Linked DNA regions of Macaca mulatta. The protein of the gene in region 1 purifies or fractionates together with the protein of each later gene. This does not show direct contact. Links are inferred from orthologs where the notes say so. Each region holds a gene or a part of one and is shown in the gene's direction. Other genes may lie near its edges.

What was found. The genes of interacting proteins can lie anywhere in the genome.
Region 2: the proteins of RARA (region 1) and KLF5 purify together in Homo sapiens (affinity purification with western blotting; 4 studies listed by BioGRID). This does not show direct contact. The link is inferred for Macaca mulatta from reciprocal best matches to the Homo sapiens genes RARA and KLF5.

The regions. Positions count from the first base shown.
Region 1 is NC_133421.1:64,733,415-64,737,062, forward strand, and holds part of RARA (retinoic acid receptor alpha), read left to right. Parts: intron 1-788; coding exon 789-930; intron 931-3,191; coding exon 3,192-3,352; intron 3,353-3,632; coding exon 3,633-3,648. UniProt on the Homo sapiens protein: Receptor for retinoic acid. Retinoic acid receptors bind as heterodimers to their target response elements in response to their ligands, all-trans or 9-cis retinoic acid, and regulate gene expression in various biological processes.
Region 2 is NC_133422.1:67,839,709-67,843,356, forward strand, and holds part of KLF5 (Krueppel-like factor 5), read left to right. Parts: intron 1-3,398; coding exon 3,399-3,577; 3' UTR 3,578-3,648. UniProt on the Homo sapiens protein: Transcription factor that binds to GC box promoter elements. Activates the transcription of these genes.

The DNA.
Region 1 (3,648 bases):
GCTTCTCCTCCTTTCCCCAGGGCCTGAGCCTCTGTGTGCATTTCTTCCTCCAGATATTGGGGCTCAGAATCTGCACAGGTTTGGGCCTTGCAGCTCTGGGCTGCTCTTCAGCCTGGAGTAGCTATCCCCAGGTGTGGGACAGAGGTCAAGGGCAAAGCGCAAGGCCTCAGGCTGTGTGTCTGCCTGTCCTGTCTGGTTGTTCCTGGTCTCTTCTTCATCTGTCCGCCTGTCTCTCTGGTCACCCTGTATGTGGAGCCCCTGGCCAGCCTGGGTTTGTCTGTGATGGGCCGGCGCACGCCTGTCTCGGTGAACTCGCATCTTTCTGCCTTGCTCCTGAGTGCATGTGTGTGTTCGCCTCCATTTCTCTGGCCAGCCCGTGTATCTGACTCCTGGCCTCTTCGGGCTTGTCTTCTCTTCCTGTGTTCTGAGTTCAGGGCTGTGGGTTCCAGATTCCTGGCTGTTTCCCAGTTAGCCCCATGTCTTCCTCTTTCTGACTCACCAGCAGCCCTGAGGTCCTTTCCCTGGAAGGGAGGAGTCAGATGTGTGCTGTGGGTTGGGGGAAGACTCCTGCCCATCCTGCGGCGTTGAGGCGGGTACTGGGATTCTCCTGAGGAGGATCCTTTTAGGTGAATCATTCTCCCCAGCTTTTCTGGCCTGCTCAGGTAGGCGATGGGCAAAGGCTTGGGGGTAGCAGCTGGCCTGGCCCTCCTCCCCTAGACTGAGACTATAGCCAGGCACTGCTGCCACTGTGGGTGTGGACAACCTGACTCCCTCCCCTCCATACCCAGGGCTTCTTCCGCCGCAGCATCCAGAAGAACATGGTGTACACGTGTCACCGGGACAAGAACTGCATCATCAACAAGGTGACCCGGAACCGCTGCCAGTACTGCCGACTGCAGAAGTGCTTCGAAGTGGGCATGTCCAAGGAGTGTGAGTGCCATGGGGCAAGAGCCGAGTCCCGCCTGAGCTGGGGCCTCAGGTGCTCCTAAAGACCAAGGGAGCAGGGCTCTGTGGATGTGTGTGCACATGCATGAACACGCATGCCGTGGTGTGCGGGCTCACGGTTGAGGATGGTTTGTGTGTAGCTGCAAGGACCTGTTTGCGAGTCTGGCTGGCTGTGTGTGCATGGGCAGGTCTGTGCTCCAGGACCGTGTGTGTGTAACTGTTCCTGTTTCTGCGCGTCTGGCTGTGTGTGCATGGGCAGGTCTGTGCTCCAGGACCGTGTGTGTGTAACCGTTCCTGTTTCTGCGCGTCTGGCTGTGTGTGCATGGGCAGGTCTGTGCTCCAGGACCGTGTGTGTGTAACCGTTCCTGTTTCTGCGCGTCTGGCTGTGTGTGCATGGGCAGGTCTGTGCTCCAGGACCGTGTGTGTGTAACCGTTCCTGTTTCTGCGCGTCTGGCTGTGTGTGCATGGGCAGGTCTGTGCTCCAGGACCGTGTGTAACTGTTCCTGTTTCTGTGCGTCTGGCTGTGTGTGCTTTTGCGCATGTGTGCATGTGTGTTTGCTCCAGGATGGCTTTCTTCCAGGCCTTGCTTGGCTTTGGGGTGGGGCTCAGAGGCATAGTTAGTCCCTTCTGATTGTGAGTCTTAGGGGAGGGGCTTGAATTCTGAGGGGTGCTTGGCTGGACTTACGTGTGTACGGGGGGGTGGAGGGGCTGGCACAAGGATCCAGAAGCCATTGTCTAGTTAAGCCTGGGATCCAGAGTTGGAAGAAAGAATTGGGACTTCTCAGATCCCAGAGGAAACGGGGTTTCCACTTTGGGCTCAGCTGAGGCCTGATGGAGGGAGGGAAGGAAAGGCTGGACAGGGAGACCCTCTTGTGTTGAATCATGGGTGTTGCCCTGGTGACCGGTGATTGATGATGTCAGAGATAAATGACGCTGACAGACGCCTCCTTGTCTGCGTGGCCGTTGCCATGGAGCCTGAGCCTTGGGGGATGGGATGGGGGAGGGGGCTGCAGGACCCCCAGCCCTTTGTGGGGAGGGTAGTGGGGAGGGGGCACGGGTGAGATGGTTCTGACTGTTGGACGAAGAGCCCCGGACAGGAAAGGAGGGGACTGGAGTGTCCTGCCACAGGAGGCTGGGGGTGCCTTGTCCTGAGCCCAGGAAGTGATGGGTCCTGCTGCAAGAGTGGGTGACAACTCGAGACCCACAAGCCTGGAACCCTTCACTTAAGGGCTGTCACCTCCTCTTCCCTCTGTTTGTGCCACCTTCTGCTCTTTTCATGGCAGAAGGACCAGGGTGGGGACCCCGTCTCCCTCCCACCAACTCCCCTTCTCCCTCCCACCGCCAACTCCCCCTCTCCCGGCTGCTCTGTGCCCCGGAGCTGAGCAGCTGCCATTTCAATAGAATTAAAGCTTCCGAATGATAAACGTCTTGTCACAGCTGCAATTTTCTCTTCCCAAATTATCCCCCCACTCTCCCTCTCCCTCTCCCTTCTCTCCCCTGCACTTTATTGAATTTGCAGAATCGACATGAGTGATCTCCAAATTATGCCAGCTACCCCCTCCTCGCTACCCCCTCCCTGAGCCCCTCCCCCACCCTCCCTTCCTCCCGCGTCAGCAGCCACCACCACCAGCCCTGTGAGTGATTGTGTGTCTGGGATAATCGGCTGGTAACGACCCCATCGCTTCTTTAAAGCCGAGTGGTGTGTGCGGCTCAGCGCCCCTGGTGATTTGTCAGCTCCCCAGCTAATGGGCCAAGAGATTCTCCCTGCCGGGCCCCCCACTCTCAGGCTGGGGAGCCCTACTCCCCACTTGTCCCAGGAGCTGCTCAGAGCCAGTCCCAAGGGACCCCCAGGGAGACTGCAGCTGGGAGGGCTGGGTGAGTGGAGGTGGGAGAAGGACCTTCCTGGGGAAAGAGGAGGCAGAGCACCGAGGAGGGAGACACCGGCGCCTGGAGTGTGAGCTGGAGTAGACGCGTGGGGGACAGCACTCGGCTGGCTGCGGGGGTGTGTGTGCAGGGCCACAGCTGTGCTCATAGGGCTTCTGGGGCCGAACTTGCTGTGTGGGTTGGGTGGGCATGGAGGGCTGGAGTGCGTGGCGATGCCTTGCCTGCCTGTGAATGCGTGCTGTGTGCGTGTGCTTACAAGCCGGGGTGACCTCCTCAGCAGCTGGCGGCTCTCTGTCAGGCTGGGGGTGGACGAGGCCCTAAGCAGCCTGCAGCTGCCCTCTAACCCCCTCTGCCCTCCACAGCTGTGAGAAATGACCGAAACAAGAAGAAGAAGGAGGTGCCCAAGCCCGAGTGCTCCGAGAGCTACACGCTGACGCCGGAGGTGGGGGAGCTCATTGAGAAGGTGCGCAAAGCGCACCAGGAAACCTTCCCTGCCCTCTGCCAGCTGGGCAAATACACTACGGTATGGCTTTCCCCTGGCCTGCAGGGAGGGATGTGCCCTGGGCCGCAGGGCCAGGACGGGCCCCTCTCAGACACCCCTTCTTGTGCCAGGCATTTCCTCCTCCCCCCTGGCTGGATCTCTTCGTCCTTCCCTTTCCCTCTCTTCTCCCTCCCGCTGCTGCCTCTTCCTAAGGAGCTCCCAGGAAGTGAAGGCTAGGTAGAGGGCAGGCCTGTGGGGGCTGGAGCCAGGCCGAGAAGGGGTGCCATAGAGAAGAAGGCCCTCACTCTCCCTCCTCCCCCAGAACAACAGCTCAGAAC
Region 2 (3,648 bases), on another chromosome or scaffold:
TCTAACTCACGGGGTTATTGTGAGGAAGCGAGAGAATGAGAAGCACCTCGCTCTGGAGTATGTGCTCCATGGCTGCTGGTGCCTGCTCCCTTTTCTTTTTGCTGGTAATGTTTCTGCTTAACATTTTTGTAAAGTATGTTAATGACTTTATCAGCATGGATAGTATGTATGTTTAACTTGAACATAGTTTTCAAAGATTAGAGATTCTAGCAAAATACTCCTGTAATTTAAAAACAGAATGAGAAAACACATACTTTGAGATAAAGTTGGAGCTTGTTTTCTGTGCTGTACAAACTTGTCACTTTTTTCTTTTTGCCTTTGGAAAGTTTCACATTAACAGCATGAGAACTTAAAAATACAGTTGATGTTGAAAGAGCTTAACTAAATATTTTAAATTGGTGGTATTGGAAAGAGATTCTGTAAAAATCCAATTAAACTTTTGAAAGCTCTCTCCTGTTGAAATATAACTTAAAGGAAGTCAGTTTGGTTTCCCAGAAGTACTGTGCATAGTGTTTCTGGCTGAGGAAGAAAGGCCCAAGTCTGCTGTTTGGCCAGAAATTGGGTACCAGCTTCCTCTACGATGTTTTACTTGAATGGTGTTGACACTTGAACAAATCCCATAGAAACTGCCCCAAGTGGGGGATAGTTGTCCTTACTTTTATGGTAAGACTTGGCCCCAGTAACTAACATTCCAGACACTGGTAGTATTCTTGGCTGAATAATCTATAGATGTGCATAAATTGAGAGCAAAACCCCAAATGTTTTAGAAACTTTAATGGCTACCGTATTTCAAGCAATCAGTAAAGTAAACTTTAAAAAATACTGGTGCAGTTTATTGCTTCATAGCCAATAAAAATAGTGAACAAAAAGAGTCTAGTGTCCCTTGTTTCTTACATAAACTCTGAAAATTCAGTTCTGCTATTTAATTATTAAATTCAAAAGACTAGAATGATTTCTTTTAAAATTGGGAGCACTATAGGAATTTTTTTCCTTGTCTCAGACATCAGAAATAGCTTTTTCTTTCCATTAAATGACAGTAAAGGCCGGGCGCGGTGGCTCAAGCCTGTAATCCCAGCACTTTGGGAGGCCGAGACGGGTGGATCACGAGGTCAGGAGATCGAGACCATCCTGGCTAACACAGTGAAACCCCGTCTCTACTAAAAATACAAAAAACTAGCCGGGCGAGGTGGCGGGTGTCTGTAGTCCCAGCTACTCAGGAGGCTGAGGCAGGAGAATGGCTTAAACCCGGGAGGCAGAGTTTGCAGTGAGCTGAGATCCGGCCACTGCACTCCAGCCTGGGCGACAGAGCGAGACTCCGTCTCAAAAAAAATAAATAAATAAATAAATAAAAAAAATAAAAATAAATGACAGTAAAGTATTTAACCAATATGTTTGTTTCTGTGGTTTATTTTTCACAGGGAACAAAAACTAATAGTACTGTGCAAAATTATTTTTTGTGATGATTTACATCCATAAATGTGATATCTATATTTACTACTGGTGTTAAAATATTTTTATATATCAAATATTTTATGTGATTGTAAGTGCAAGAACGTGATCTATACTTTGTTTCATAAAAGGCTTGAATGTCTTAGGTTAAATTTCTGGTTCGAATTTCCTATGAGGGGAGGAAAAATTCTAGAATTGAGATGTGCGTTTTTAAAGTGGATTGATAGGAATCAGAAAGGGAATTAAAACCAAAACTGTCTGAGTCAGAGGCAGAGGAGAGAAGAGAGGAAGTATGGCACAGCAGTTCCATACCATGGGAAATGCAGGTGAAATCTGAAGGGAAGGAAATTGGGACCACTTTCATGTGGTCTGTTTTGGCACTTTCTTCTTTGTCCCTATGGGATTTTGTCTGAGAGTCAGAGTGGTTATCAGGACAACGAAAATATTAACCACAAATTGTAGAAATCTCAGTTGATGAGGACAGGGTCTTTTAAAGTTTAGACTGACTTAGTTAATCCTACAACTTCCTGAACATGATACTGCTAAATTAGGCAGAAAGGTTGTGCAGTTTCTGTTTCGTCAGAACTAAACAAGTGTTCAAAGCAACTCTGAGGTTGCTCCCTCTCAGAAGAAAAGATTTTTGTAAGAGAGTTTAAGAGGTAAAAAGGTATCTGTATAAAACTCAGCAGTAAGCCAATAATACTTTAATGTACAAATTTATCTCACAAATTCTTATCAAAAAATAAAATTCATAGAAAATCATAAAATCATAAATGTAGGAACTGCTAGTTAATGCTCACTGAAAGAACGTTTTGGTATTTATTCCTACTGGAATACCTGATCTCCAGTAGGATTCATTCACCAACAGTGAATTAAGACTACATTATGAATATTTAGTAGTTTTGAAAGTTAAACAGCTGGCAAACTTTGGAGAGCATTAGGAATAATATACATTACAGGATGGGAGGGAGGAACATACCAACTCACTACTCAAGGGAAGAGAACTGTGGACGAATGGAATGGGTAGGTTGAACAATTTCAGACTTTTAGAGGTATATTACACATGTAAGCTCCATGAGGCCAGCCATTTTTATTTTGTTAACCGTTGTATCGCAAGTATTTGGGACAGTTCCTGGCCTATAATTGATGCTTGGCGAATTGTTTATAGAATGAATTTTGGGCGCAACACTTGACAAAGGAAAACTAAATACAAGTCAACAAATGTCACAGTTGTTACAGTTGTTTCATGGTCTAACCTTTTTACCAATGTGAAGTTATCAGTACCAGAGTGTTTTGCTTCAGTCTGCAAAAAGAGGGTGTGAAGATGTGTGTGAATCTCAAAAAGTGAATGCCCTAATAGTCCATTTTGGAGGCCATGTGTTCAAGTGAACTGATTTATGAGCTGCAAGCTTCAACCTGGCTAATTTAGAAACATCTAATACCAGTTTCTGGTTAAGCAATTGTGGTACATGAAATTCATTGTATAGGTGATTCGTGCAACAGCTTCTGAATTTTTTCCTCCCTCATCCACCTTACAGCCATTAGTCCTATAATAATTTAATTTGGGTTTGTTGGTATAGAAACTGTATTTGCACAATAATGATAAAGCCACTCAGGCTCATCTAGTCATTTCCTGGATTTATGTGTGTAGGAGTACATAAAAATAAGGGCACTGAATCATTTCGCATTTGCCTAAAATTGCTTTTCTTCAGTTGTTCAAAGGTACACAAAATGCTTTTTTCTTTATAAGGTAAAAAATACTTGGAGGTTATAAGAAATAACTAGCTTACTTTGAGTGGCTTTGATATGTATTTACTCATAATGGAATTCATGAGCTTTCCTTCCTTCGCTTGGCCAAGATTTTTTTTCTTTGAAATTCCTTCTCCAGTGTTATCTAGGATGTTTGCATTACAAGCAGGCCGCCTCACCTCCTTTGTTCGTTGTCACAGGTGAAAAGCCATACAAGTGCACCTGGGAAGGCTGCGACTGGAGGTTCGCGCGATCGGATGAGCTGACCCGCCACTACCGGAAGCACACAGGCGCCAAGCCCTTCCAGTGCGGGGTGTGCAACCGCAGTTTCTCGCGCTCCGACCACCTGGCCCTGCACATGAAGAGGCACCAGAACTGAGCGCTGCCCATGCCACCCGACCCGTTCCAGGTCCCCGGGCTCCCTTTCAAACAACAAACCTAACTGTTCCT